3 linked regions of the Drosophila melanogaster genome follow. The protein of the gene in region 3 interacts with the protein of the main gene of each other region in a pairwise test. Each region holds a gene or a part of one and is shown on either strand. Other genes may lie near its edges.

The links.
Region 1: the proteins of Pez (region 3) and M7BP interact in a two-hybrid assay, tested with the Drosophila melanogaster proteins (one large-scale study listed by BioGRID).
Region 2: the proteins of Pez (region 3) and CG2116 interact in a two-hybrid assay, tested with the Drosophila melanogaster proteins (one large-scale study listed by BioGRID).

The regions. Positions count from the first base shown.
Region 1 is NT_033778.4:7,624,207-7,635,006, forward strand, and holds the start of M7BP (Myosin-7a binding protein), read left to right. Parts: upstream 1-4,594; 5' UTR 4,595-4,906; intron 4,907-5,970; 5' UTR 5,971-5,985; coding exon 5,986-6,122; intron 6,123-7,288; exon of another isoform or gene 7,289-8,894; coding exon of another isoform or gene 8,895-9,206; exon of another isoform or gene 9,207-10,009; coding exon 10,010-10,108; intron 10,109-10,146; exon of another isoform or gene 10,147-10,552; coding exon 10,553-10,794; exon of another isoform or gene 10,795-10,800. Other genes in the region: CG43341 (uncharacterized protein), read left to right, coding at 8,895-9,206.
Region 2 is NC_004354.4:8,124,344-8,135,143, reverse strand, and holds CG2116 (uncharacterized protein), read right to left. Parts: upstream 5,333-10,800; 5' UTR 5,226-5,332; coding exon 3,429-5,225; 3' UTR 3,361-3,428; downstream 1-3,360. Other genes in the region: CG10958 (uncharacterized protein), read right to left, coding at 401-2,632; cyr (cypher), read left to right, coding at 7,539-8,083, 8,166-8,454.
Region 3 is NT_033779.5:6,333,800-6,344,599, forward strand, and holds the start of Pez (Pez), read right to left. Parts: upstream 4,873-10,800; 5' UTR 4,849-4,872; intron 4,695-4,848; 5' UTR 4,344-4,694; coding exon 4,259-4,343; intron 3,473-4,258; coding exon 1,516-3,472; intron 1,455-1,515; coding exon 587-1,454; intron 526-586; coding exon 307-525; intron 240-306; coding exon 63-239; intron 9-62; coding exon 1-8. Other genes in the region: Cpr (cytochrome P450 reductase), read left to right, coding at 8,375-8,550, 8,928-9,270, 10,360-10,484, 10,545-10,800.

The sequences.
Region 1 (10,800 bases), on a different chromosome or scaffold from region 3:
CCACTTTCTAGTATGCATGTGGCTATGGACAGACTCGAACGTTCACTTAAATATGCAGTTCGCTCTCTCGATTGACCACTGTAGTTAGCGTGCACTTGGCTCGAACCCTGTGCAACCCCCGATTGTGAGGAATGGCCACAGGTTGCACTTCCGTTGCCATTGATTTTCTGCGTGTGTGCTTCAATATGTTTGTTCGTTATTTTCTAGTTAGCCACGGCTGTGAAAACAACTTTTACAAACAAAAAAAAAAAAAAAAAAAATTAAATAACAGACATTTCACCCGTAAATTGAAAACGAACAAAAGTGAGCAAGTAACAGAGGGAAAAATGAGAAAACTGAGATAACCAAAACCAATCGGACAGCATCGGTTAACAGTATTAACCAGCGACTGGCGGCGTCTCACTGCCAACTTCCGTTCATTTAAGCAGATTGTTGTTGCAGCCCCCAGGGGCAAGAGGCACCCCCCGTTGGAGGGGGGGGGGGGTGGTGTGTGTGGTGGCAGCAGCTCAGTTCACCACAAAAAGAAACTCCACAAAACGCATCATTGGCGTGGAATTGCTTTGACTAATTTCCCAATGAATCGGCAGTTGCGGTTGCGCCCTGTGGCTCCAATATATGTATGTATATATGTACATATATATGGGTCCATGTGTGGGGCATGGCTATTAAAGTTGACCGGGAAGAGAGTGTGAAACCGTTAGTAAGCGCTACTCTGACTGCGGGTCACCCGCTCCTCACCCGCAGCTTGATAAATAGTTTCCCTTCAAATATTTGCAAATGTGCACTGAGGGAAAATAGTGTCCGACTTGGTCCACTTTCGTCCCAAATACCAGTGAAGATGGCTTAATTTACTGTCGTCTCATAGAAATCAATTGATGCCACAAAGGTCTTACTCATGAAAATCTTTGAGGCTTAACAGTACACTTATACTATACTTATACTTATACTTACTTGCCTTGAATTTATATATGCAGCACTTTTATGTCAATGGGAAAGTTAACACATTTTTTTCCCTCTGTACAAATGAGCTGTCATAATTAATTGAGCCATCATCAGGCCAGCGAAGCTTGAGCACAGCCTTCTAGCCAGTTCTCCGGATGGAGTTGACCCATTTGCCGGCGACCCAATTGCATCTGAAATTGTTGTCTAATTAATCATCAGATTAGTTAGTGTAACAACTTAATTCGACATGCCATGCGAATGCCGCAAACAATTGTGTGAAAATTGCACAAATCCAACTTGCAGATACAAAAACAGGCACACCAGATACATACATACATATGTCTATGTATATGTGCAGGTAAATCTGATGCATATTGGGTAACACACTTGAAATGGAAATCAATTTCAGTTGACCAACCTCAACGAAAATGATATGCAAAACGCCGGATTTAGTTTTGGTATGCATGCAAATGCACTTTTAATTGCCGCATTGTTTGGGGAACTGCATATCATGCTGTTGCACAGCCTAGCCTATCTTTCGAATCCGCAGCAAATCCCATTCGGAGAATTTCCACACATCCAGCCGGGTTTCACTCGAAACTCCAAAGAAATGACTTTGGCGGCCCGCAGGCCACCACTTTTTGTTTCCCTTGTCCGAAACCATCAACAATCGCTGAGCACTGAAAATGAACAACGAACAGTCTGGAAACCGAACAACAAGTGCGTTGCTGCTCCGGCCATCCATCTATCCATCTATCCACGTATCTGTCCATCCATAGATACTTCGGCAGACGTACTGTCAGCGTTTCAAGTCTGCCATTTAGTTGGCCAAGAGCAGAAATGCTGCCTGCTGGCCGAGAATTTCTCTTTTTCCAATTTGTGCTGTGTGCGCATTTCGGTTTCGGCCAGTTTCGCTTGCCTTTAGATTTGCCAAATAGTTTTTGGGAGCCTGGGGCCTTCGGCTTTTTCCAAGATGAGCCGCTGAGCCACTTAACCCAATGCCAGCCAAATGGGTTAACCCGCCCCGAATCGATGCGAATCGCAGCACTCTGCGTAATTACGTGCCAGAAATTAGCATATTTGGGCGTGCGAACTGCGGCTATAAGTGCACATTTCACTTTGGGTGCAGCAACACACTGAGATACAAATGTATCTCATGAATATCATGAAGTGGAAGGTGACAGACCAACGCGGATATTTGGGGGGAGCTTTTTGAGATGCGTAGCGATGAGGCATCGCCAGATTCCAGGTTATCTGCAGCTGGGCGGGGGTTCGTTATCTGCCGTCGCATTTGTTTATGGGTCTCTGCCGTAAAAATAAACCAAAATTCCTTTGATTGCAGAACGAAAGCAAACGCTCCCAGGCACACACATACACACACGCACACCATACCAGCAGCAGTACCAGCACCCCGTAGGGGAAGTCTTGAATTTGTGTATCGCGCCGGCTGATAAGCTGCTCCGTAAGCGACTTTTATTTTCGGTGGCCCAAGTGGAGGCAGTGCGGCAGTGCTCGCTTCCAGTAACAAAACAATGCTCGTAACTGGCGCGTAATTAACACACAAAAACGCGCTAAACAAAAAAAACAAACAAACCAAAAGCAGCAGTGAGGCGAATTTGTTTGCCAAAAGTGTTTCTTTCATGTGCGTGAATGGAAAACAGTGCCTGCATGAGACACTGAGTGCGGAAATGGAAATGGCCTAGGGCCGCTCCCGATTCACAAGCAACCGACATACACACACACCACACACCGCCCAGCGGCGACAGCAGCAGCAACATGGCAGGTGAAGTGCCAGCAGAAACATCGCCAGTAGGATGCAACACCAGCAACAGCCAGGGGAGCAGTCCCCATCCCGATCCCATCCAGCAACAGCAGCTGAACTCCAGCGTGGACAGCGGAATTGCGGTGCTCGAGGCGGAGTCGCCGACCTTGAGGAGGCGCCAGCGACTGCACCAGTGCCAACGGATCCTCCAGGTGTTGCAGCGGGATCAACTCACCCACCAGCAGCTGCGCGATAGATTAAGGTGAGTGCCAGATTTTCAATCTTCTGAAGCATTCATTCGATCCAATTTAATATCAGAGGGCATATACATATATATTTATTTCCATCATTCAATTCGATGTTTTCAATTTGATTGACAACAACTTGAAGCTGTGGAAGTTGGACTGTGCCATGTGGCCAGAACGGAAGCCACAGGCAGCTGGGGGATTGGCCTGAGCCGACTTGGGTGCGCATGGAGCCCACAATCTTACGGCAAACTGCTCTGGGTGTATGCATCTGCATTTCGCAGACTGCAGGCGGATATCAATTTATGCAAATTTGCCGGCCTCAAAATGGAAATGACAAAATCTCGGGTGCAGTTAGTCAGTTAGTCAGTCACTCAGCCATGTCATTCGTACAGCCAGAAATCTTTCCGTGAGCAGTCGGAGTCTTCTGGGAACTCTTTTTTAGACAATTGTCATGGAGAAACCCGCTGCCTCTGACCACCGAGCTTTCGAATGAGTTTGCAATTTGGTTGGGAAACTGTGGCGGGGAAGTTCCATTAGAATGATAATGAGGACCAACCCAGTTCGGCGATTGTAATTGGAAAACCTCTTTGAACTATATTGTTGTCTGTTTTCAGTGTGAGGAAAGATACACTTTATAGTTGGATAATTATGCTACATAAACTTATATAACTATGTTATTGATAGAGAAACAAGTTGGAGTCTCTTCATTGTTTTTTTTTTATAATATTTCAGGATAGAGTTTTATAGAATTATAAATACGAATAGAGCATTCCGGAATCGACTGGTTAGATTGTGGAGCACCCAAATGTATGGCCCATTCCATGATAATTTCGTTTTCCACACGAGCTTCGATGCCCGAGGAGCGGAGTGGCAATCTTATCGAATGTTTCATAATTAAGTTGATTAATGGCAATTAATTGCCGTAAGCTTTGCATGCCCAATGGCAGGGCCAATCGATTTCGTAGGTTTTTCTTTTGGCCACAAACTCTTGCCACCATCCTCCAAGCGGCGGACATGTGACTGGCAGCTGCCAAGTGGCATATGCAATTGCATTTGCATAAGGTCCGTTGGACAACGTGGAATGCCAGAGAATAGTGGACGGGGTGGGTGGGTCATAAGTGTCCATATTTCTGCGGCTCAATGGGGATTTACCCGCCAACACCCACCCACCCCCACCCCCTCAGTTGCATGGCCAACAAAGCTCTGACCCAGTGCGCCAATAAGGGCCAGTTCCAATTTGGTTACTCGCCCGCAACGCACACAAATCCTAAAAAAAAACCACAAAAAATTTAAAAAAAAATTTAAAACCCTGGAAACATTTGGCCGTAGATTCAACACAATTGGAAAGAGTGTACACCCGTTTGTGACCTCACACCCGAAATAGTCTTGACACTTATCTGCGACTTTTTCGTCGCATACCGAGATATATATATTTATATATCTCTGGACGCGAGCGGAACTCTTATCAAATCAACGGTCGGTCGGTCGGTCGGTCGGTCGGCTATATACGCGATCCGCCATAACGAAGTGGGCAAACAAAATCCAATATAATGCCCATATACCCCAGTTATATATTGTGCAAAAAAGTAAACAAAACCGAATTCAACTTGGCTAAAACAAACCTGTCGCCGCTCCACTCGCAGTCGGAGTCAGCTGCTCCAATCGCCAAGTTAACTTAACTTGAAGATCGTTGGCACGGGGGGCCCTTATCCACGTGATCCTAATCAGTTTGTTGTATGTTTTGTTTCAATTTGTGCGTCATGCAGTCGGGATTGTTAACGCTGTCGACGGTTTGGGCTTTTTGAAGATGGAGCAAGGTGATCGGCGGGCGGGCGATGGCAATTAGCGGACTGAGTTCGTGTGGCAAGCACCTGAGAAACATATTGCCCGAAAAGTGATTGATAATCGTCGTTCGTAACTGCAAACAGAAATAACAAGACAAGCGAAATTTGTGGTAATTATTTATTCAGATATTTCGCCAGTGAAGTTCATTTCGGTTCAGTGGGAAGATTCCACTCCCAAAATATTACAAAAAAACCAAACAAATTTATAAATAAAACCCACATCTTTAATGCCAACTGAAGTGAATAGCACGATAATTAAAATACATCATTCTTAGAACCACACACACACACAACTGATGCTATAATTTTTGTAAATAAAAAAATGCAAAACCAAAGGAGATTATGCAACTGCCAACTTCTATAGAAGATCTCGATGAAAAAAAGCAAAAATGTCGATAGGAGCTTTGCAAAAAAACACATACAGACATTTATCAAGTTTAATTAGTGCTAATCGCAATGTGCAAAAATAAACACAAAGGAAAACACTTAGGCAATTAAATTAACGTATAAATAACTGCTAGTACGTGATTCGAACTGCAGACAAAGTTTTTTCTAAACTTCTCTCAAGTGATTGCATCTAAACTACGAGATTTGCATACTTAAATGAATAATGTTCTTTAAGTGATTTATGACAACAATTTCATTTATCCTTCTTTGCATTATGCTGAAAATTATTTATCACTAATGGTCACGACTTCAAATGTGACCAATTGCACTGAGTTGTACCTAAAAATATTTATTTACGTGATATTTTCGCTGGGAACTAATTGTATTACTGGTTTACCAATTTTCTATTCAACTTAATAACCGAAACTTAAATGCCCTGCTCAGGGTATATTTACCCATACAACTTCATGTCGAAATCTAGGCAATTTAAATCGAACAAACAAAACTTTTGATAAGGCTAAGGCCAAAGTATGTATTGGCCGAAAACCACGTAAAATGTCCACAAAGAGATGATAGCCGCAAATGAAGAATGTTCGGCTCTGATAAGTAGTAAAAAATAGTTTGGTGTAGTATTGTTCCGGATATTTCATTGATTCAGTATAGTTAGGGTTTTCAATCGAGGTGGAATTAAATCAGAGCTGCTTCCGATAAGTGTGTGTGTGCGTGTGCTTCTGATGCAAATGCCGCGAAATCGATAGCGTAATTGAATTCAATGCGAACTCCGCAGTGCCTGAAGCGCTGGATGCGCCCCTACATCTGCCTCATGGAGCTGCCAATCAACCGACCTGGAAGCGGGAACCTGCTGCTGGGACTCACCTCCGTGGTGGGTCTCATTGGAGGCGCCTATCTGCTGCAGTGTGGCGCCCAGCAGCTCTTGGGGTGAGTTAATCAAATGGGAGATAAATCAAAATATAGCATCCGATGGATACAAGTTCGACTACGTGAGCTAAGCTCCGCATCCGCACGTGCACTTTGTATGCTGCAGATACAAATGCAGCGCGAGATAAATCCGAATAGAAACTGAAACTAAACTTTCTTGACTGCAACTTCAACCCGGTTACGTGGCCATCGTTTCGCATGAGTTGATTGCGTTTGCGTGTGGGAAATGGCCGAGCTGAAGAGATTTGACATAATTGTTGCCATTTCTCCAGTCGCCGTTTTCCACCAGCTACCATTTGCCATTTGTTACTTGCCCCGTCGACCGGGATGGCGATGCAACTGCTCACTTTGGGCATCGAGTGCGTAGCGTCGCCTTAATTAAGGATTGCGCAATCTCCGCCACCTGCCTCCAATTTATGCAGCACCTGTTGTGTCTCGGCGATGGCCTGCCGGTCCGTTAGACGTTTCATAACATTGCCAGTCCAGACCCAGACGAGCTGTCATTGACTCTTCGCGAATCCGTCCACAAGAACGATAGAACCTCGAAGAATGGCCAGCGGAAGTCGTTGGCCAACAAAGGGCACAACTTTCCACCGCCCACCCGCCGCCAGCTGCTTTTTCCTTAAAAAGCGTCACAAATTGGCAATAACAATTGGCCATGGCTAACAACGCCCCTCAATTGTTGGCCTTTCGTCACCTTTTCAATGGCATCTTAATTAGCCGCTTTGTTGACAGCATTATTTGTATTATTATAGCGACGGCAGTTACACATCATTTTTCAGTGTATTAGGGTAATATGCGTATCGAAACTATAAGGCTCTGAGTAATGCATATCTTTGAGGCACAATTTCTTTATATATTTAAGCAAGGAAAAGATTAAAAACATAAACAGAATAATAAAGTTTATATGAGTACCATTTTCTACATACGAGCTTTCAGTTCGCTTATAATTCACTTATTAATTTCCGGGTCTTAAAGACGACATTTTATGAACGACATTCTATGAAGCCAAACGAGTTGTGGAACTGTGGAAAGTCAGCCAAATGCAATTAACTCTGGCCGATGGCAGAGTTTAGATATGCACAGAAATTCTGGGTTTTATTCGCCATTAAAGTGAGAAGAAACCAGTTATCTTGGCCTTGTGGCAAGTGAAAAGCCGCAAAACGAAATATTTTTAGTGCTTTCAAAACCAATTGTGAGAACAATAACAAGTTGTGGAAAATGTTTAAACTAATGCGATATTATTTACTTACTATTGAGCAGTATTGTTTTCGAGTTTGCTTATGGTTAAGGCTGTTGAAAATCGTTTTCTACGTAATAAAGCATGCTTTTAGGCATATGAGTTTTATTTGAATTTAAATAAATTTAAGATTTGGCCAGGTGAATTAAGATATTCAAGATAATTCATGAATCCATTTAGATACGGTCAATGATGATCTCACGAAAGCCGGATAGTAAACTCGGAGATAATCAAAAGATTATTACACTCATATCAATAAAACAATTTACGATGCCACTTGCTCGCTTCTACCAAGAATTTATTAATCTCCGGCTCGAAGTTCTGGGAAATTCTGTAGATTATGCTATCAGAGGAGCATTTGTGAAAGCTTCTGGCCCTGTTGGGATATTAATAACCTGACACAACCTGATGGCTTGACGCTTTCTTGTGCGGGAATATGCTAATGGCGGACACATGAGACTCACATACATACATCATACATATATTAACCCAGATTCCCAGCACAGATTTCTAGGGAATCTCGAAATCTTAAGGCATGAGATCGCAGCTCGAAAAGTTCCCCGGGCTTTATGCCGATGAAAGTGTAGCGGCAACACCGTGGCGCCATTTGTTGCCAAAATAGTGATTAAAACTCGAATCCAGCTAGAAGTCGATTGATTAGTTAATAAACCGCTCACAGCATGCATACATTATATACATAGTATTTTGCCAGACAAGAACCAAGCCAACTCGTTTGCGGAATGTTTCTCACAATTAGCATTTGGAAATTAATGAAGTTCAGGCCAAAAATAAATTAGTCGACAAATGAATGCAGCAGACAGGCGATGATGCTCGATGATCTTCGACCACGTATGTATATCTCCTCCAAAACGGTTCCTGTTCGACCAGGTTTCCAGCTCTTGGATCAGATCGGATTGGATCTGATCGGACCACAGTGATCGGAGAAGAAAGGCGATAAATCTGCATGGAAATGTGCGCAGTCATTGCTTCCAATCCGCCACATACACATGTCGACCCGTCCGACGGGATCGTGGGCAGGGGGACTCCAACTTACGTCATTGACGAGTTTGTTTAGCGCTAGAGAGAGAGAGAGAGAGGCAGTGGTTTCCCGCTCTCCACGATCGAAACCGGCATGGGATACGGCTGTGGCTGTGCCAGTGTGGTTCTGTGGAGAGGCCACAGCTCCATAGCTCTGGCTATGTGGAGCCATAGAGACCCGATCTCAGCTGTTGACCGCCGACTCTCAAAGCCAACTGCGCATAACAAAGGCGAACCTTGTGCGAGAAAGTTGTCAGTGTCGTGGGACGCGGATCGCGATTTGATAGCGAATTGGCATTAAGTGCTTCCATTGGCGAAATCGGTTCAACGCGAGTGCCATGCCAAATCCCAGCAAGCCCACCGGCGCTAATCAGTCGACAAACATTTTGAATACCTGAAAACCCGATCCCGACACCTGGAGAACAGCCCCCCACACCACACCACACGGCAGAGAATCCACTACAGATCCAGCTGTCGATCGAGTTCCAGGGAGAATGCTCTTCTCCGCGGTGGTGTTGTGCCAGGTGGAGCGGCTGATGTGCCTGCCCATCAGCTTCGCGGTGCTGGGCTTCCTCTTCATGGCCTGCACCATGGAAGTGGTGCTGCTCAAGTTGACCAGCACTGATCCGGTGCTCGGACCGCCCGCCGAGGATTGGGAGGAGAACGGGGGCCCGGATGGGGAGGAGCAGATCTACTATGAGAATCTGGAGAACAACTATGAGTACTGGGCGCGCAGGAGGATGCGATTCCATCGACAGCGACAGCAGCAACAGCACCAACAGCAGCAGCAGCATCTGCCCACATAGAAGACTTAGGCTAGAATATAAGTGTATATTTTTAATTAGATCGGTTTTAAGCGGCTATACTGACTGAGCATCTCTCCTACACACCTTGTGTTTTCAATCGCTTTCGACAGCCTGTGCAAGTTATTTGAATCTTTCGCAAGCGTAATGTTTTCGATGACCGTATACGGTTGGCTTTTTCCTTAAATTATATTTGTTTGTTTGTAAGCGAAATTGCGAATTTTGCCATTTGAATAAGTTGAGCAGCAATCCGCTTGGCGATTTCTCATTTCGAGCACGTACAAGACACCCAGGAATTCCCTTCTTCTCTCTTGTGTAAGAACTGTAAGTGACTGACATAATCCGAATGCATATCGAGGCAGACAGACGCACTGCCTCTTAGATTGTAAGTTGTTTGTGATAGAGCTACATGTATGTATACTTTAAGCCAGGCCATTTCGCCTAAGTTGATTAAACTCGGTTCGAAGCCTCATTGCCTTTTTGTTTGCCTGGTCCAACGGGTTTGCGTTGTTATGCAATTGGCGGGATTTAACAGCCGGGAGAAAGTCAATTGCCCCATGCAATTGCGTTTGGGTGGGGACTGCCCACTATTTAGTTGCCGGGGGAAGTGGTGGTCGTCGGTCCAAAAGCCAGAAGTAGCACGATCAATGGCTACCGACTAATTGAGCTGAGTTTCAGCCAATGACCTTCTGGCCGTTGAATAACCCCAGCTAATCGCCAGAAACGACCTGACTAATCGTCTTGTTTCCATCACCATCCAACATTCTCGAAATAACGCGCGCTTCCTTCCGCCTTGTCTCTTCCAGCAAACTAGCCAATAAGAAGTGGAGGAAGGAGGAGTCCAGCAGCGAGGATCACGCCTGCAACGTCTGCTGTGCGGACCTGGATCTGAGCAGTGCCAAAAAGTGAGTAGAATTCGTGTCTCCGAAATATTGCGAAATACCTGTTTGACATTGTTGATCTTACTGATATCAGCATTTCTGCCGAAATCTATTCGTTTGTTTGAACAACAGTCTGGCTTCTTGATAGCCATATAATAAATAATTCGAACAAACACATTTGCAAAGTATAATTTGCAAAAGAATTGGTTGCTTTCTCCTGCATCGGTTGAGGTATTTACTGCTCTGTTCACCGAACTAAAAAGAAACCAAATTTATTTATGCAAACAAGTATAGTTAAATTTAAATAACTTTTTTTACGAGAGATTCCACGAGAACTAAAACCTTCCATTCTAAATAATAAATTTCCATAAATGGCTCTAAGCTCATAAATAAATATCTCTTTAAGTGACCTGGAAAGGTACTGGCGAATATATTATACAATTAATGATCTGGGAAAACCTTTTGCAGCTACGTGACATGTTGCACCTGCGAAAAATCGGTTTGCCGCGGGCCTAAATGCGCCGACTGGCGGCCCAAGGACGCCAAGTGGGAGTGCCAGCTGTGCCAGAGCTCCAAGGAGTCGCTGGCCCACACCTCCTCGTGGGTGGCCGAGCAAATGTCCTTCAACCAGCATAAGTTTGTCTATCCGATGAGGGCTAGGAGCGAGGTGTATATACCGATTGTGGGCGATGGCAACGACAGCAGCATGCGTAAGT
Region 2 (10,800 bases), on a different chromosome or scaffold from region 3:
GGACTCAAGGGGAAACCCCTCACAAATGTTATCAAAGAGCTCTTTTCATGCTAGGCACTAATAATGATATCAGAGAGCTGTTCATAGTTTAGAGCGGGACAAACTGAGCTATAGACGTAGTAATATTTAACTTTGAGGGGTTCCATTATTTTAAATATTTAAAATCACAAGGTTTTCATGTTCAAAATATACTTTTATTGCACGACTCTTGAATGAAACAAGCTTTTTCAGATGGCGCCCGTGCAGGGACCCCACGTCTCTAAACTATTTCGATGTCAATGTCAAAGAGCAAGACCTAGGCACAATTATAATTTATCATGTTTGCAGTGAAATCGGACAATAATTGCTTGGGATTATGTATGTGCATTGCGGTTGAGGCTGTAATTGAATAATATCGCACCTAGACGGTGAACTTTTGCAGCAGATGGCGCAACTCTTCGTTTTGGCGACGCAGAAAGACGACTTCCGCATCGTACTGCACACGCATCTTGAGCACCTCAACGTAGTGATTCAGTCCGTGCTCCAGTGTCTTCCACAGCTTGCACTTGGAGGCCGGGAAGCAGGCCGAGAACTGGCGCCAGAAATTACGGATCTCCGCATCTGTAATCTGAATGAGATTTACCGCATTGAGAATGCTACCCGGTTCGTGTTCGTACATCTTTTTGTGCATCTTGGAGGTGAACAGATTCATGGCGTGCAGGCAGAGGGCCGGTTCCATGACCAGATAGTGATTGTGACATCTCTTGGCCGCCACCTCGCTCTTGGGTAGAAATGTATCCCCTGTCGACCTATGCTCCTTTTCATCCGGTTGGCCACCCGCCGCGCCCTGCAGCCGATTTGGCTTTTGATCCTTCATGAACACCTCGGCACACTTGCGTGGACTCAATCCCTGCGGCTGGCAATTCGGACAGTAGGTGTACGGCATGAAAACCTTGGTCAGTTCCTTGACATCCCGCAGATGACGAATTCGCAGCGCCGCAAATATATTGTCGATGCGTACCAGGCATTTTTCCTCCTCGGAATACGGTTCAAGAATCTTTAGCAGACGCTCCTCGATGAGGAAACCGCCGCGATCGGACAGCTTGCGAATAAGATTACGCATCAAGCGTAGTGAATCCGGCGGAAGCTCCTTGATATCCGGCTTGCAATTTACGCCCGAGTTGGGCATCACCCTGTTCTTGGGAACCCGGCCAATTCGCATGTCAAACTTCTCCAGAATGTTATTGCGCTTTTTCTTCGCCTTGTTGATGTTTGGAATGGGTGGCACGGGGCTGGACCACGGCATGGCCAACTGCTGCTCGTGTATGATGCGATCGATGTGGTAGACCCGATCCACCAGCAGGTTCAGTTCCTTGTAGTTGATCTCCCAGATGCGATCGAACTTTTCGCGATTGTTCAGCCTCGCCTGATGCGCCTTCGACTCCATATCGTTGATGTTGGAGTGCAGCTTGTAGATGTCCGAGGAAAGACGGGCTATGTTCCGCTTGCCCGTGTTGTAAAGATTCTTCAGGCCACGCCGGGTGCGTCCGATCGCCTCATGCAGTCGGGCCACCCGTCGCTTCTGCTGGTTGTTAATGATCACGTTCTCCTCGTTGCGCTTCTGGAGAACCTGATAGTTGTAGTCCAGCTTCTCGGAGTTCATCAGCACATTGTCGCGCGTGCGACGTAGCTCCAGCTCGAGCCTCTCGCACTCCTTCTCCAGCCGAATGCGAGTGCTCTTGGTCAGCTCCTCCTGGGACTCGTTGATCTGCTGGGTTTGGCGAGCATAGAATTGCTCGCGTGCCCTTACCAAATTGGCCTTCTCGTCAAAGTTGGCATTCATCGCATCGAAGAAGGTGCGCCACTTCTCCACCGCATTATCGGCGAAGATTTGACGCTCCTCCTCGATGGTTTGCCGCAGCATTTGGATGTGCTCCTTGTAGGCCTCCTTAAGCGTCTCCACCTGGTGATCAACGCGCTCCACCAGACAACAAAGATCCTGGGCCTGCCGCTCGCGATCGAACTCGTACTTGGCATTCATGCGGTCCACCTCCGCTTGGCAGGCAGATATCATCTCATCCTTGCGTGCCATAATCTCGGCAATGCGTTTCTTTTGCTCTTCGATTTGGTCCCACAACAGCATCGGCTCATTGGTCTCCTCCAGCTCCGTCCAGCGCGCCTTAATGTTCTCGAAACGGGCCATTGTCTCAACGCTTTCGCGTTGCAGCTTCACATGCATCTGATTCTTCTGCGCACCCTCGAAGAGTCGGCGATTCAGCTCCCTTCGCTCGTTGGCCACCCGGACATTGGTCACTAGTTCTTTGCCAAAGCGCACCAGTTCGTTCAATCGCTCACTGGACAACTCCAGCCGTTGATCAATCGGCGACTTCTGGGCCTGGCAACGTTCGGCGACGCCTTTCGGGGCCTCGCGGAACTGCTGACGCACCCGGTTGAGTATCGCCAGCCGGCGTTCGTCCAACTTCTTCACCGACTTGTCGCATCGCTCGTTAAAGATCAGGCCATCGATGCGGTCATTAAAGGACTCCCAACTGTCCACTGGTCCCAGATCGGGCTCCACCTCCTCCTCCTCCTCGACACTGCCGTCGCTGACCAGCTCCTGGTGCTCCTCCAGCTCATCCTCGTTGTCGTCCATTGTTTAAAATATATGCCAGGTCGAGATTTGGATGAGAATCGCTTTGTTGTGCGGAATTTCTGAAGGCAACTCTGCTCCAAATCAAGGTGGTTTGTTGTGTGACTGGAGAAGTTTGATCGAAGGATCCCGGGTTCCCTTGGTTTCGTGGTCATTGCCCATTTCGCCTACTTTTCCGGTAGAAACAAAAATGTTGTCTTTACGTTTGTTTACTTCTGTTGTCAGTGGTGCCCGCCCCATTAGTGTTGCAAAACAAGAGAAGTGCAGGCTTAAGCAAATATACATGATCTTTTTTTTTAATAAAAAGTGTCTCATGACTGCTTTACCATATTTTGTCAATAATAATTAACAATAAATCATTGAATAATACGTATTTAATACATAAAAGTCTATTTAGTTTTGAAATTAGTTCATCTCCACCCGAAATAATCGTTATCGAAATGGAGCAATAAGTGCTGTAGCTAAAGTTATTTCCTTCTCACTTCCTCCTGCTGTATAGCCCGTGCTGACGTCACCGGGGCCTTGCTAAATGCAAAATGAGTGGAAAATTCCATTGCCAAAACCGCAATGACCCCTTGGTACAACCAAAAGGCGCGATGTTTGACCCCTTGGTTGCAATCAACAGTCCGAACTTGATGCCCTTTAAAATACAGCCCTGCGGATTTGTACACACTGGGTTGCATTCGACCAAAAAACTTGGTACTGCCATTCAAAAACAAAGTCAAGCGAATGAATTCTTTACATGATAGTATTTAATTGCGACCTATATATGTACAAAATTTGCGCGGAGTTGCGGCACTCAGTTATCCTCAGTCTTCAAGGTGATTTCATATATCAGCTCGTCGTTGTAGTCCTGCCCTCGGCCATGATGCTGCTGATGCTGCTGGTGATGCTGTTGGACAGCGTTAAAGTACTGATCCTCGGTTAGCAGCTCATCTAAATCCTCACCGCCATCCTCTGCGTCCACTGCGTTCTCCACCAGCAGGTGCTGGTCATCGTAATCCGATAGCTGCACATACTGTTGCTCGCTCTCGTCCAAATATTGGCGATTGGACGGCGAACCCTGCTCCTCTGGTTGATTGTCCTCAACCAACAGGCCGTCATCCTCGTCGTACTCCTCCTGCAGTGGGCCCATGCCGTCGTAATCGTCGTCCTGGCCATTCATATTGCGACCGGAAATGGATTCCGAATCGGATCCTTCACGATTCCCATCCGCATTCACAAAGCGACGCGTATTGCTACGGCACTGAATCGAACGCTTGTGGGCATCGAAGTAGCTGATGTCGGTGAACTCCTCCTGGCACAAATGGCACACGTATGTGCCCTGGCTCAGATGCATCTCCTTACGATGACGGGCCATCTTGTGAGCATCGCGACACTGCATGCCACAGAATGGGCATTTGAGCATCCGCCGCTTGCCCATGTGAACATTGCGGATGTGCTCCTGCAGAGAGAAATTCTTGTAGTAGGCCTTCTGGCAGTACTCGCACTGGAATCGCCGCTTCTTCTCGTGCGTCGCCTCGCGATGCCGCTTCAGCTGGGTATTCTGGGCGAACGTCTTGCCGCACACTTCGCAAATATGCTCCTTCTCCAGATGTCGGCGCTGATTGTGCACGCGCAGATCCTGCTTGGTCGAAAAGTATAGGGTGCACAGTTCGCAGACGTATGGACGGATGCCCATGTGGCGCCGCGCATGTCCGGCCAGGTACTTGCAGTCGCGATACGTTTCCGTGCAGTAAATGCAAGCATAGCGATTGGTGCCAGGCACCAGATGGGTCTTGTGGTGCTTGGACAGCTTTGATTTGTGCATCACATCTGGGCAAATGCCGCACTCCACCGGCAGCTTCTCGTCCATGATGTCGCTGATCATGGAGAACTCCACAAGGGGTGTGCTATCCTCGTCAAAGTCCACAATGGTGGCTATCAGGTCGTCGAAAAGCATGTAGCGACGCGGTCCCTTGAACTCCTCCAGCATCTTTTCGCTTGGCTTCACCTCCTTCACGCTACCATCATCGTCGTCGTTGTTTTTTTGGCTGACAAAGCTACGTAAGGCGATCTGGCGGGCAGAATTTCTAGCTTTGCTAGCGGGCTGGACAACAGGCGACGGCGGCCTTGGTGGCGATGGTGGCAGCGAGGGTGACGACGGTGGATACATATCCAGATCCTCTTCCACCCTTTCGTTATCGCGCGGATGGCCGTAGCTAGGTTCGTGCTCGTAGTCGCCGTAGTCGCCATAGTCCGCCTCCTGTTCCATCTCCGGTTCCACCTCCACCAAATCCCCCACTTCGCTCATATCCAATTCCCTGACCACAAATTGCGGCATCTGTTCGTCATCCGTCAAATCCTTCACCCGGGAGCCCACTATAAAGTCGCGCAGCTCCTTGCTCATCAGCATCTCCTTCTCCACGCCGTTCTCATTGACGATGATGATGTCCTCTTCGAACTCGTTGCCCAGGTTGTCCAGAAGCACGTAGGTGGCATCATCGCTAGTGTTAATCACACGAACGTTTCCACGGTTGTCTTCGTCCGAGTAATCGCTATTGGCCGGCAGGACGAATTCGATTACCTCGTTCGCAAGGCAGCGTTTGTGGCTCATCCTGGTCACATCAACTGAATTAATTAATTAATTCGCACGACTGCCGAAAAAAAACGTAAAAAGTTGCAAGTGTGACCAGTCGCAGGTTGCTGGCCGAAACTAACTATCGGATACCAGGTATCGATGCAATTTTCAACAAAATACTCGCTTTGTAGAAATGCTTGCTTCCTTCCGCTTTCATACATCGACTCACTCTGCGTAGATCATAGATCATGAAAATCCAACATTTTGAGCTGTAAATGCCACTCGATTTGAAACTTTATTACAAATTCAACGAGGTATGACATTCCATATATCGACCAATATTAATTTTGTTTCGATCAAATAACTGCTACTTTTTGAAAAGAAAAACGAAAATTCGAGAAATGCGAATACATCTATTCGAATTTCGATCATTGCCTGTGTGAAACGTGTATTTTCTTTACTAAAATATATATAATAAATAAATTAAATATTGTGCCGATGAATAGATCGCAAAATATCGATACATGCGCATTATCGATAACGCGCAATTTGAATAGGTGCTTGCGCGCCAAAAAAAAACATCGCTGGGCATGCGCGACGTCGGCCAACGTCTTTTGCCGCTTTTGGCCCCTTCCCTCATTGTTGTTGTTGCTGTACTGACTGTTTTGCGGTCTGCGCTCGCGACTAACTTGGCTAACTTCTGGACTCGGAATTGGCCCGGTGCATTGCATCTGCACACTCGGTGGCGCGCGCTTGTCTTCTTGAGACTTCTTCAATCCAAAACGGGCGTGTTTCGCGATCTCATCCACTTGTTCAATAGCAGTTAGTGTTTTGTTTTTTTTTTTACGGTGTTTACTGTTTCTGTTCGTTGAGAGCGTGCGAAGTGCGCGCATGCGTAGTAGCTGATAATTAACCAATTTGAAAATTGCGGTTCTTCTGCTTTTTTTCGCAATTCAAATTGACCGCATAATTGCGCAAGGAATGTGATTTTTTTTACTGTTTATAATATAAGTGTTATAGAAAAAGAGAAGAAGCTCAACGCGAAATCTTAAAGAATGCTAAAATTGGGATGATGAAAGGATATTAAATTCGTTCTAAAAGGTAAGAATAATATCAGTTATACATAAAAAAAAAAAACTATGTCAAGTTACAGTAAAAACAAATGGTTAAAAAAATATCACACTTAGATTTAAAGAACTTATCTGTGCGATTTAGAATAAGGACCAACTGAAAGGATCGTATAAGTTTATTGACAAAAAAACATCTATACAATTGTAACCACACATGTTATATTGAATAATATCTCAGTATATTAATTTGTAAGATTAAGGACTAAGGACATAAGCCCTATGATTTTGAAATAACTCAAAACGAGTGAAGGGCACCGTCACTTCGAAAGATACAAATACATACATACTTGTATATTTAGTTTTTAAGTAGAGTCCAAGTTATATTGTTAATTGGGCTGATTACAATGCCCAGTCAAGTTAATAAGAGATGGGAATCACAAATACAAATAGAGAGCACAATAAGCGAATAACCAACCATACTAGCTGCCAGCTAGTAACATCACAAAATAGGATTACGCAAAGTTGCAAACGCATTATGTTGATGTTGATTTAAGCTTCGGTGTTTGCCTTTATCGCATCTATTTATTTATTTATTTGTTCGCCGTGCTGCAACATCTTTAGCCCGGTAGCCCCATGGCTCCATAGCTCCATTGCTTTATAGACTCCATCCAATCAAACAAATATGGGACAAACTTGACCCGCTTTCGTCGCGGATTTGGCATCACATCGCATCGCATGGCATCGAAAATGGGCAGGGAAGGGCTACCCCAGATTGGCCTCTCGTTTATTTGGCCATTAAAAATTACATAAAGTGACAGCGTTGTGCCCCTTTCCCTTTTTCTATTAGCCCTACAATTGATTAAAATCATCAATATTGCTAGCTATACCTTTAAATAGTTATTTAACAATTGAAGTACAAAATTTCCAGTTTAGTTAACCCATTTAAACACGAAAGCCCAGCAGCAACAAGTACACACCATGCCCCCCCCCCCCCCCCCGTAATTACTTGACCCAAAATCATCGCTATGCTATGTATGCAACTAATGCATTTCCATTTCGCAGACAAGATTCTCGAACTTGGACTGGGAGTAGGCCAATTAAGAGTTAGCCACGCGGCCGCACGAACAGGTGTCGTCGCTTCCAACACAGCAACATCTAGTGACAGCAGCAGCAACATCCAAAGACAGCAGCAACAAGTGGCATCATTATCGTTTTGCGGTTTTGATCATCGGCGGGGCGGTTTGCCGTTGCCACTGGTAGAAAACGGGAAATCGGAAACATGTTCTCCTCCAGCGCCTCGGCCGCGTCCACATCCTTCAATCTCGGCCAGCTGCTGCCATTGGCCATCGCCATCGGAGTGTTGCATCTGCCGCAGTTTCTGTGTCATGCTGCCTGGACAACCAGAACGCCGGAAAGTTTCATTAACGATACGACCACCACCACCACCACCACCACCACCACCACAACCAAGACCATGCAAATCCAGGCGATGCAGGTGAACTGCAGCCGGGAGCTGCTCGAGATGCATCTGGAGTTGAGCCGTCCCTTTCGCGGATTACTCTACGCCAAGGACTTTCCGCTGGAGTGTCGCGCACGTGGCAAGGACTCGACGCGTCTGCATCTGCGCATCCCAACATCGGGTTGCGGAGTGAGGGCAGAGCCACTGGAGGACGGCAGTCTGGAGTATACGGTGCGTGTGATGCTGCAAAAGGAGCAGAAGTTGCGCCAGAGCACCGACATCCTTAGCTCGGTGAGATGCCAACTTCCGGCCAATGCGATGGGCATGCCACTTCCGGTGTTGCGACAGGAAAAGGGTCACGATAGGTAATTCTACAAATGCTTTAGTTAATGTAACAAGATGGAGAAGTTCTTTTATGATTCGATATATATATATATATATATGTAGAAATGCCAGGATGCGAGCCTTGGCAGCTGCTGCTGCAGTTCCAGCTCTCGGCGCCACTTCGTCCATCAATCAACAGCAGCGGGAGACGCCACGCGTTAGGATCTGGTTAGAATTGGGCGGTCCCAATGGCACCGGATCCGTGGAGGTGGGCGTCGCCACCACGCTGACGGTGAGAGCCATCGTGCCCGGAAACATCGGAGTGCGGGTGGTGGACTGTGCGGCACTCGATGGACTGGGCGAATCCACGCAGCAATTACTCGATGCCCGCGGCTGTCCCATCGACGAGCAGGTGAGTGAAGCGATCAGCTGAAGCTATCTATCTATATGCATATGCATATATATATGGACGTATCTGGTGGATCGTTCATTTGCGTAACAGGTGCCGGCGGCGCGACATTCTACGCCAGACCAGACCGTTAGAAACTTAACTTGGATGCGACGAGACGAACGGAAAGTCATTAATTAGCCACGATCTCGATGCTGTGGGGCGATCTGCGATTGATCGCATTTAACTTTCATTTTTATGTGCGACATCTAGAGGGTATCAATCTAGAGGGTATATCGGGCCAATCGATGGGAAAAACAAGTGGGAAAAACAATCCATTCACAAAGTTCGCTTAAGTTCATCTGCCAAATGATTTAAGCTGCCAGAACTAAAGTATTTCCAAAATTTTAAAAAGAAATATCATAAAATAGTTTTCAGTCGCATCAACTTCACATACCCTGTAAATTTCTATGGGTTGCGTTTTAGAAACGTTTTAAGTGCATTTTGAAGACGACGAAAATGTAAAACAAAAGCAATTTGATTTTCGATTCTTTGCCACTGATTTCTTGATTGCTGCGAAAGGGAAATCCAAATAGATGGGACAACCTATTGATTGGAAGTCTTTCTTGGGATATTTTGCCGCCAAACAAAAAAAGATACATTATCAAAACTAAGCCTGGCTCATTAAGTGTAACAGTTATTACAGCACCGACCATAAATGTGAGGCAAACGGCAGCAAAACCGAAACTGTTAGCCATAATTACGCGATCATCGTTAGAACAGTTTTCGTTGCCCAGCCAACCAGGCCCAAAAGAACTTAACTCAACTCGACTCGACTCGACTCGAATCCACTGAGATTGGCCCAAACGATTAGGTAAAGTGGGAAAATGGGAAAAATGCGAAGAACAAGCAAAGTGTTCTAGGGGTTCCCTCGACTCTCCAGCGCCTCAAATCTCAGGTTCTTCTTGAGTAAATTAGGAGGTCACAACAATTAGCCAACAGTGAAATACATAGAAATATTTATCGTTTAGCATTTTGACATGCCCCTGTTGCGGTTGCCACATCTTCCTTTACCCGCCGCCACCTAACCATTTAGTCGCTGCACAGTGGAACTTACAGCGAATAAAAGTGATACTAGGAAGTGTGGGTTCAATTCGAATTATTCGTGTTTGCTCGAAAAAATGCATATGCCACATTTTAATATCATTTAATAGTAAATATGTGAGAAATACCTTTTTATATACAAGATTTTGTTATATGTTTTTATGTATGTATATCCTACAAGCAGTTAATCAGATTTTTTTCTTTTTTAAGCTAATTAATAATAATAATTTAATTTTATAATTTAAAATTATCAAACAAGTAATTTATTTAGTAAATTATGCAAATATTCCTTGAAGCTATGATGCACATATTTGTGCATGCTGCTCTGCGACGATTGGGCCCACTGTGCGACAGTGGCCAATGCCATTGCCAGGCATTTGCATTTCGGTCGCCGGCCGTCGCAGCTTTGTGCACATGTCATTCATCCATTCACGACCAGGCGGCCTTAAATGGGTCAAACAAATCTCCGGCTGACGGCTTTGCTACTTCTTTGTGTTGTTGGTGGTCAGGGCAGCGCTAGAAAAATCACACGGCTTAATTTCTGTTTTATTTTAACGGAACGGGCTAGAAGACACATAGTATATATTTATATGTGCATACATACATGCAAACAAACATGCAAACATACATACAAACCCACGAAGAAAACCATTTGCATTTTATGTTTGTTTTATTGTTCAGCTCTTGGCGGCTGTCTTCCGTTTTAGCACATTTCATTTTCTTTCGCGTTGGTTTATTGTTTTATTTTTCTGTGCCTTTTTTTTTCTACTTTTTTTCTTTTCATCTATTATTTTGCTCTTTACCTCTTCATCAAGTCGCTCCAGTGCGATTGCAAATTTATGCGCGCACCCATCACAGGTTGATTTGTTTGGTTAAGAAACACTTCTGGGTCAGAGCGTGGAGGAAAAGTGAAATAAAAACCGCGTCTTTTGTCTGCAAACGGCGCCGATGATGGTGACCCACATTTCGCCATGGAAGCTCTAGAACATGACCCACTGTGCAGGTGGCGTACCGTTAAAAGGGTGAAGAAACCTAAACTATAGTTACTGATCCCACACAAGGTTATCTATTTGCATGAAACTACCATCCATTGCATCTATCGATTAACCCTGAATCCTGTCGATTATTTCGATTAATCCATTTAAGTGTTGGCAATCACCGCGTTATCCCTGTCTTCTTTTTCACGGGAGGAAGCATTTGGCTGTTGTTACATTTGCATTCGTACAATCTTTCTGCACGTGAACTCATTTGAACTTCCGCAACAAT
Region 3 (10,800 bases):
ACTTGGAACTAGAAAGTAGAACCTTTGAGGAACAGAACTAAAAGCTTATGCGGTTCACTTACCTGTCCAAACTCGAGACGCTGATGACTGTTACGAGGAATATAGCTCATATCCTCGGTTAGCTGGACCACCAAATACACATCCGCCTCCCATACACACTGCCAGAAGATGCGCATGGTAAGCGGTTCTTGTGGCGACTGGGCCACAATATAGAACCGCTGCTTTGTGCCCACAGTGGCCTGAAAAAGATGTTCCAACAATGAAATACACAATTTGCTTTTCATCTTGAGTGTCAACTGAACGTACAGATATGGAGGAAGCATTAACGTAACCATGCCGATTGTCTCGGCATGGAGTCAGTCGCACTCTGTTGTCGTCATAGGGTAAAAAGTTGGGGTCGTGGTTCTTTGGCTCGTTCTCCTCCAGCAGGGCGCATTCGTATAGGGCATGCTCCCGTCGTTTCGGTATGCGTTCGAACTCCATGAATAGCTGCGAGTCACTTAGCTTTTGGTCTAGGATTTGGCACTGGAAGTTGACAAGCGCTTTAATCGAAATGGATTCCAAATCGTAATAACTTTTAACCTACCAGTTTGTCCTTGGAATATCGTCCAGAAATGGGCTGCGGCTTGTTGACGCCTGTGGACCAACGATTTGGCAGGTTGAGATCGTCTTGGGCTAGCTTTAGCTTTGCCGCCAGCTTGGAGTGCTGACCTGCCGTTGTGGCCTTTTCCCTGCCCAGTGTGGCGGATTTCTGTTTGTCGGGTGTTTTGCTGCGTGACAAAAAGTTCCATCGCTTCTTGCGTTTTAAGTCTTTGCTGGCCGCCGATGAGGACGTGGTGTCCAGCGTTGAGTTGAACATGGAGGATGTGGAAGCTGATGTGTTGGCAGAAAGATTCATGGCACTGAACTGCTGTTGCAGCGTGTCTCCGGCCGGCGTGATCATGTCGACCGTCGACGACTTGTTTAGGCTTGCTGTTGAGCGATGTTGTCGTGGCGGAGGTGTGGCTCCCATATCTGGCGCTGCACTGGCGGCTCGATTGGTCCGCTTAGGAGCCTGCGGTTCCAGGAACAGCAGCTCCGTGCTTGCTGCTCGGTCTGCGCCGTACTTCTTTATGTTTCCATCGTCGGGTGGAGAATTGACAGTTACAGTAACTACGTTGTTGGAGCTGGCGTTTCGAGCAGCTGGAACAGGGACAACGCCTGGGGCGGACTGTATGGAGGAAGCTCTTTGACGCATAGCCTCAGTATTTGCGGCACCACTGCTGCCACCAGAGGCTCTCTGTGGCAGGGGTACATTCTCGTAGATGGGCTCGATGGAACCGTTCACCAAGCTCCTCTGTAGTGGCGCCGGTGTCGCCGATTTATGGGACGAAGCAACCACCGGCGGTGGAAGCGGGCTGCTCGCTGGCGGGGGCACAGAACTACGATATCCACTCGGCGGCAGGGTAGGTGAACTGCAAGATCGTAGCGAAAAGTATTGTTATATTGTTTATTTTACGACTTCATTACACTTACCTCTGCGTTACCACAGATCCGGCAGCTGCAGCTGCTGCCTGACTCATCGCTGACTGTCGCAGCTGGGACATTATAGACGGCTGCTCCTCGATCATGTTGAGGTTCTCGAAGGTGCCGTGCGGGGGCAGATAGGGCTGCGAGTGCCCCATGTGGCTCACGTACTGGTACTGGTGCAACATGGTGGCTCCGGAAGATGTTGGAATATTTCCGGCATGTCCGCCTGCGGGCAGAGCAACGTACTGACCGCCATTGAAGAGCGTGCGGTTAGAGACTAGATCCGGCGAGGAGCCGCTTACGTAGTTGCGGAAACCCTGAAGGGGACGGGGAGTGGCCACGGCCAGATCGGGCGTGGAGGAGGAACTCAGCCGATTGACATACGGCGGTGGGGCCTTGTGACGCATCATATGCATGCGCTGCGAGAGCTCTAGGTATGCCTGGGCGGGGCTCATGGGCTGTGGATGTGACTGCGGTTGATGCTGTGCCTGGTACAGGTTGATGTGGTGGTGTAGGGCAGCCGCCGGCTGGGCCACGTCCGGATAACGATGCGCAGTCATATGACCATACAGTAAGTTCTCGTTGTGCATGCCTGGATTGTGTACATCAGGCTGGGAGCCCGCATAGTAGGCATTTCCGGGCGCGGCCATTGCCAGTGCCACATTGTGGAATTCCGCCGATGGTGTGCGGTACTTTAGTTGGACCGCCGTCTCATAGTCTGGTGCCGGGCGGTATGTGGGCAGCATGGCTTTGAGGCGCTCCCGCTCATCGTTGTTATTGTTGTTGTTGCTGCCTCCGTGGTGCAACATGCCACTGCTGCTGTGCAGGTTGTTGTTGCTCAAATCCAGGCAGGAGCTGCTTTGTCCCAACATCTGGTTAGCGCTGGTAGCCAGCGAAATGTTGGAGGAAATCATCTGCTGCTGCTGAATCTGTTGCTGCTGCTGCATATGTTGCTGCTGCTGATGATGCTGTTGCAGTTGCTCGGCGGCCGCCGCTTCATTGTAATCGTAGTCGACATAACCAACGCTGTCAACGCCCAACGGACCACTCTCCGCATCCGCACCACTTCCCAGGCTCGAGGGCGTGGCCGTGTCAATATAGCGCTTGAAAAACTTATGCTGGCTAATGGTGAGCTTCCAGAAGTAACGTGCCGTGTCCGCCTCGCTGAATATAAAGCTTCCCACGATGCTGCCGCCACCATCCAGCTTGTTCTGCTCGATCTTAATCGTTCGCTTGTCGATGGTCACCGTGTGGAACTCCTTCCATGGAAAATACTGCCGACCGTTGTCCGCGTTCACCACCATCCCGTTGATGGCCAGGCCCAGCAACAAATCATTGCCGAGCGTGTCCTTGGCGGCGAAACGTTCCTCCCCATACCCCTCCAGCTGCTGGCAGCACTGTATGTACATCTCCTCCGCCTGGCTCTGACTCAGATGTGCAATGCCCGCCTGCTGCTGCAGGACCTCCACGATCAGTCCCTCCAGCATGCTGTCATCGTTGGCCAGGCCTTGCATGTTGCGCGGCAGGACCAGCGACTTCTTCAGATAGTCCTTGCTCTGTTTGTCGCCCTGGTAGCTATCGTACTCCGCCTGGCGGCAGTAGAGCGCCAGCAGTATGGCCGTGCGGATGTCACAGGCGATGCGGCCCTCGTAGATGTCGCTCTTCAGCTGCAGAAAGTAGTAAAAGCGCGTGGCTTCGTCGCTCAAGTGGCGCACGCCAGTGGTCACGTAGTGGCGAACGCGCAAGTAGATCTTGGGGCCCGCCGCATACTTCTCCAGCTGCCGACTGAGCGAGCGCTCCAGGTCGATCCATTTGAACTCGTCCTCCTTGTCCTTGCCCTTGACCAGGTAGCGCAGTCCAAAGAACTCCGGCTGCTGGATTAGCAAACGTTGGCAAACGTTGTCCAGGCACTCCTGTCCCTTGCTCTCCGAGCTGATCGTGCAGTCCACTGTGCTGGATGTGTCTGCAATGTAGGTAAGAGTGAAAACGTGCTTCAAACATCGGCCTAAGTCGCTCCAAGCACTCTAAATTCGCCGCACAACAACAATTTGGCCCTGCCCGTCGCACGCGCAAATATGCAAATAAAGTTTATAATCTCTTTCGAGACCTTATACGTTTTATGGACGGAAATTGTGGCGGCGCCGCTCAATTGGCTTCTCTCATCTGTCGTATTTCCTAACTAACGAAACGTAGGCCTAATGTCTAAAACCTTTCTGATGGTTGGAGAAATTTGGGTGGTTTTAATTGAGTCAAGGTCTTCAGTTCGCTTGCCAAATAAGTACATTCGGTTAAGTGTATAAGAACTACAAAACATGCTTTTGTTTAGCCCAAAATCGAGAGTAAATAATATACAAAATGTGAAGTACGCAAAGTTAGGAAGTTCTCATAGGCAGTCTGTTAGTTTTAGAATTAACGGTCGCTGTTATGTGTCCTGTGCGCCTCTGTTAACTCAGCGACTGTTAACTAGAATGCAACAAGTGAAGGCATTTTTGTGGTCTGTGCCTTGGAAGGCGAATTCCAGCTAAACTGGAAGTGGGCGCCGCATGACAATCGTTGTGCACATTCCCAATTAAATAATCCCAATTGCAATGGCAGACGGCAGCTGTTAAGTTGTGGCTTTGTCACCGATTTCTTGTTGTTTCTATTGTCTCGTCTCCACTGTTGCTATTGCTGTTGTTGTTGTTGTCGTTGCTGTCGCTGTTGTTGTTGTGGGGGGCGTAGCGCCTCTAGGAATGTGGGGCTTACTCACCCAGCAGGTGATGCACTGATATAACAAACAAACTCTTGGACGTAACATTGTACTGGCGACACTTTTTCAAGAATTTCAATGGCATTTTTCGACTATTTTGCTCCACCGGGGCTCCGCTGGGCTCACAAAAGTGGCTAAAACGGCAGCACCATCGACACCACAGGTTTTTTTTGGGGGAGTAAATTGCTCAATTGGAATTAGCCGATTTGAATCAGCTGATTAGACACGCAAACCAGAGCACTGCGCGTATTGGTTAAGTAAAGTTAAAGATAGTAATTGGGCAGTTAACGACAATAAATAAAGGAATTCACGAGAAATAAAACGAAGAGACCGAAGTGCTGATATCGATACGCAGGTGCTGACTGAGTATCTCGGTGGCTGGCATCGAATGGATCGATAGGCGGCATTGACTATCGGTATGTCTTTGCGCAGTGGGCTGCAAGAAAATAGGTTTAGTTCTGTTAAAGAAAACAAGTGCAACCAAGAAATATGTAACTGAAACAAAACAGTTTATATTTTAAAATATATAACAATGCAGTCAGCAGTGATTAAATAAAATTCCTAAAGATATTAAAACCACTGATACACACGAATACTTCGTTGTACACAGCAAGAGAATAACGGTTTCTAGCGAACAGTAAAATATCAAACTTAACAGAGCTACTGGACACATAGGTGGCGTGCTGGCATAGCTCTGTTATCCGTTCCAACTCCAGTGCTGGAAAGTGCGCGCAACTGAGAAATCCACACCGCGATTCGACGACGGTCCCTCTGGAATTCAGTAATTTAGTACTGCTGCTGCCGTGGTAGTCGTCACTTCCCCTTTGCACTTGCCGCCCTCCGTCAACGTTTTATCGAATAAAGCGAATTAAAATTAAGATCGTGGCTTCGCCCCGCTGCGTAACTGAATAAAGCGAATTTAAATCAAGGGCTTTGACGTCTGCCAAGCTGCTGAGAGGGGCTGCAACAGGAAGAGCACCAGAGACGGGGCACAAATCCACATCCACATCCACCGATCGTCGTCTATCTACAGAGGATTAGGAGCAGCGCAGTCGGAGATCGCGATCGGTGAGTTTCGAGGAGCCGAATCACAAGGCCACGCACTGTCGAAATCCAAAAAGCAAAACCCGATTACCAAAATCGAAATCCAGTCCATAATTAATTTGCTGCTTAGATATTTCGAGCGCTGCATTGGCGGTCAAGGTTGCAGCGACGAGGACAGATGATGGAGCAACCGTATCGCTCACTCGCTCGCTCACACACACACACACACACAGAAGAGCCCTGCGAGCGAGTTTAAAGTTCAGTACCTGTTGCTGCGCTCGCCCAGTCTCCCTCTCCCTCTCGCTCTCGCACAGCCTCGCCGCCGCCCGTGCGATAGTGCGCTCTCGCTCACTCCGTCCGCGCTGCGTGTAATTTAATTTAATTCACTTCTGTTATTAATTTGCGCTATTTGCACGCTGTATCGCCGCCTTTCACGTCTCAAACCGAGTCGTAGGCCGAATTGCATAACCAAAAACGCGACTCGGGTCGCCAATCGGCCATCAAGTTACTTTTCTGCTCGTGGCTCTCCGCTGAGAACAGCTGTCGACTGTCTGCTTCCCGTACAGTAAGCACTCGATATGAGCGACGAAGCTATGTTCTTAATTTCCGTTAACCTGCCTTTCCTTATTCAAAAAATCAACATTTGAAAATCCTAAGTACACCAACTTTACACATTTTCCAATTGGAGTTGGCGTTGCATTTAGTTTCCAATTTATTAAAAACAATTTGTGAAAAAAGCCAACCGATATATTGTTTTATGCTAATTAAACACACACACATTAATGACGATGTAAACAAAATCCTAGTATCAAAATTTACTACAACGAAATTGAAAGTGGCTTAGTTCGAAAAGCCGAAGTGTGTATACTCTTGCTGCCTTGTATAACTGAACTCTGTAAAATCGTTCCATTTTGAAAGAACTAAGAACTTAGTAGGAGATACTGCAAGTCTAGGTATGTACGTACATACATATTTACATATATATAAATCAGTTAAAATATAAAAATTGTACATTGTTGTACACTTCCTAAGAACTTTTATGGATAAAAATTAGTTCTCTGAAATTCAAGTTCAAAGACAAACTAAATAAATATATTATATTATATGTTATGACACCCCATTATAGGGTTACCTACCTATTAAAGCTAGACTATTAGTTCTTCCAATTAAAGAACCATTAAAAGGGCAGGTTCCGTAATGGGATTACATTTAATGGACTTCGGTTAAAGTGAGCGCGGAGTTACATTTCATCCTTTCCAGACAGCCAAACTAGGTTTATGATAACGAAAGCCACTTGGGCGCGAAATAAATATGCATAGTCATGCTTACTTTATAATTCTCCGTCGATTCGGACGAGTAATTCGAGAGTGTCATCGTGTTTAGGGAATTTTAAAATCACATATGCCAAGCGAGATTCTAAGCGTTATCACGCACATTACAAGTGTGTAGGGTGATACTAGATGGGCGTTTGTTGTGACTAGATCGTAAACTTTGTTTGAATAGATGGCTAAGCAGAAATAACCAAGATCATTCATCTCATTCATTTAGATTAACTACTTAGTCGTAAACTAGAAAAAGAAGCACTCAAATAAAGAGTGTTTTTGGAGGAAACATATACACATTTGAACGAGTTAGGATCTATTGTTTCGTAAAAAAAACTAAAGAAACCGAATTTATGTTAACATTTTTGGAACATTTGTTGGTTTTCGTGATATATATGTGTGCTTCCTAACACAATTTAATCATTGCGCTGTCGTCATTCCGTCAATCGAACAGCACACATGGGTGACCTATAAAAAGACGCCAATTTTATGTTCACCTCCACTTGTTGTCAGTGTTGGTTGTTATCGGGAGCGTCGAACACATACCTTCCTCGAAATCGGACGAGAATGACGATACTGGCGTCGATTTGCATATGCCTCGCATGTGTTTAATATTTATTTTCTGCCTTTTGCTGACCACAGCAACAAGAACTATTACGCGACTCTATACAAAGTTCACGCACGTAGCGGCGCATTAGCAACATTAAAGCATTAAGTCAAACCCGAATTCAAGGTGAAAATTCAGTAGAGCTCCTTAAGCCCCCACAAAACAAAAGATAACACCTGGGATCAGCTCAAACTTCCAACTGCTTAAGTTGAGAGTTCTAGTAAAAATGCTTTCGGCACTAGTTAAAACTCAAAGCAGTCGGGGCGAATTTCATTGAACTCCAAGTGTGCATTTCAAAACCCAAACTCTAGCTTAAGTAAACCCTCTCAATTTGCATTTCCTATGCTTTTTTTTATAAATTCGGGTAAAGAAACGTATACAAACCGTATATGTACATTAAAATCTTTAAGTACTTCATAAACTGAATCCTAATGAAAGGGAATGTATTTTGTTTGGGATGATTTTAATCCGATTTCACATTGACAAGTACCAAAGCCTTTGCTTAGTGCAATTGGCGATTTCCTGGAACAACGGCTGGTAAAGGTGTTAATCGAGTGATTGGAAATCAAATTTCGTTATTTTGCGCCGCTCAAAGAGTATTTGCTTGGGAACAGCGCATTTCGAACGCTTTTACTCGTTTTCATCATATCTCTCGACCGGCGACGGCATTCGATAAGCGCGTGCATAAAACCTGTTGCTCCCGGCGGTCAGTGAGCAGTGCTCCCTAACGCGAAACACACGTTGCGTCGCCACAGAGGCGGATCCAATCGAATTCATAGCTTTAATTGCACCAGTGCAGCACTGCAAGTGATCGACGGAGTAGTCGTAGTTGTCAGTGCAACGGGAACGTCCCAAGGTACGATCGATTAAAACCAGATGCGCGATTTCAATGTCAACCGGCGGCGCTGGCGGAACATCCAGCTAGAGCGGTACCTTGCACCGCTAAGACAAGTGCGGAAGCGGACGGACTACCGTTAGACGCACAGGCGATGCTACGCCGCCAGCGCTGGTATACGTGGAATACATTAGAGTGCGTGTCCAAAGTGCGCGACATGCAAATGGAGCTAGACCAATGTTATGCAAAGCGAAAACTAAAGCGCCGTGAATTCTGTGCCCTTTTTTTGCAGTCATACACGTACCACCATGGCCAGCGAGCAAACGATTGATGGAGCAGCCGCAATTCCCAGCGGCGGCGGCGACGAACCCTTCCTGGGACTGCTGGACGTGGCCCTATTGGCGGTGCTAATCGGCGGCGCAGCCTTCTACTTCCTGCGTAGCCGCAAGAAGGAGGAGGAGCCAACCAGGAGCTATTCCATACAGTAAGTATAGTTAAATTTGAGCAATCTAAAGCAATCTAATCCGAAGTCCAAAACCATGGCAATTCTTGAATTGAATAGTCAGTTTCTTGATAAACCTTTCAAAAAACATGCATATCACGCGTACAATTCAATATTTAAAACTGCTTCTTGAATGAAATGCCCTCTAGATCTATTCGGTTCATTCCGTCACAGATCCATATGTTCCGCCGATTTGTTGGAATCGATCGGCCATTATTTGACGCTGAATGATTCACACATCGCAAATGAATGTGTGAATACCATTGTGTGATTCATTCGTTGATCTGAGTGTTTACCTGCGTGTTAAGATAAGATTCAAATTTGGCTGAGATTTTAACGCATATCTTTACCTTCTTCAGACCCACCACAGTGTGCACCACCAGTGCGTCGGACAATTCGTTCATCAAGAAGCTCAAGGCATCCGGACGCAGTCTGGTCGTCTTCTATGGCTCACAGACCGGAACCGGCGAGGAGTTCGCCGGCCGTCTGGCCAAGGAGGGCATTCGTTACCGTCTGAAGGGCATGGTTGCCGATCCCGAGGAATGCGACATGGAGGAGCTGCTGCAGCTGAAGGACATCGACAACTCGCTGGCGGTCTTTTGCCTGGCCACCTACGGCGAGGGAGATCCCACTGACAACGCCATGGAGTTCTACGAGTGGATCACCAGCGGCGATGTCGATCTGAGCGGGCTAAATTATGCGGTGAGTACGAGCGATATCACACGGAACGGTCTTATCTGCATGCATACTGATTACACGAGTCCCCCTCGCCAAACACGGAGTCCGTTCCTCTTATCAAAACATTGTGCCACTGATAAGTGATTTTTATTCCACGCCCAATCGCAATTTTGGCTATCTCCCCGTATTTTTGCGCTTTGAGTTGTTTGTTGTGTTTTAATACAGCTGATGTAAGCGGAACGAAAACATTTGAAATGGCATTGGCGGATCCTAATTAACAGATAGGCTGTAACCTGATAGTGTAGCGCGCACGGAAGAGTTTGTTTTTGATAATAAACCTACTATTATTACTCCCCATCTCCCAAATGCCAGCAGTTCAGCGTAGACAAATTGATAGAAATCTAATCGTTTCTTGGTAGCCTTGGAGGTGTCATACACCTTAGTTTCGTTGACTTTTAAACAACGTTAAATATAGCATATTTTATTGTTGCCGACAGTCCAACTGGTAGTAAACCAAAAAGGAGTTCTATATTATCAACCTTATCAGTTGCCCAATTCGAATTCCCCGCCAAACTAGCAGCTCAAAAATGCGTCGTTCAGGTTCGCGCGCCGTAGCAGTCGGCTTTTGACTGGCAGCAGTCGCACGGAATTTTTAGTTGCTTCTTGAAAAACAATGTGCTCAATGTCGATCTCTGTTCTTGCGCAATTTGTTTACAATTGCCGTGGAAATTCTGCGGTTCAATCCAGCAAATGTCGGCCGGAAAATGCAGAGCTCGATCGCCACATCTGCCCACCTGTTCGTCAGGTTCCGCCAGCAAAAGCTGTTGAATTTGCTCAGCATTTTGAATAGTTTACGTAACAGAACAGCTGTCGCGAAAAGAAAAATTGAATGGAAGGTAGTATGAAGTTCAGTTCTACAATCAATCATAGTTCAAACTATTAAACTGATAAGTGATAACACTCAAACTTATTATGAGTCTCATTAAAAAAGATGGCTTAGTTGTTCATTCGTGCTCTGAAATTCGCGTTCCTAAGATGCATCATGTATTTTAAGTAGTTAAGTTAACTGAATTCCATTCTATAGTTACTAAATCCACTCTTATCTGATTCCAGGTCTTTGGCTTGGGCAACAAGACCTATGAGCACTACAACAAGGTGGCCATCTATGTGGACAAGCGACTGGAGGAGCTGGGCGCCAACCGGGTCTTTGAACTGGGACTGGGCGACGATGATGCCAAGTAAGTGATGAAGGTGTAGCCAACAATGTGAACCATACTCAAGTGATACTTCCCCAAAAGCATCGAGGATGACTTCATCACGTGGAAGGATCGCTTCTGGCCCGCCGTGTGCGATCACTTCGGCATCGAGGGCGGCGGCGAGGAAGTGCTCATCCGCCAGTACCGTTTGCTAGAACAGCCAGATGTGCAGCCTGACCGCATTTACACGGGAGAGATCGCCCGCCTGCACTCGATTCAGAACCAGCGCCCGCCCTTCGACGCCAAGAACCCATTCCTGGCCCCCATCAAGGTGAACCGCGAGCTGCACAAGGGCGGT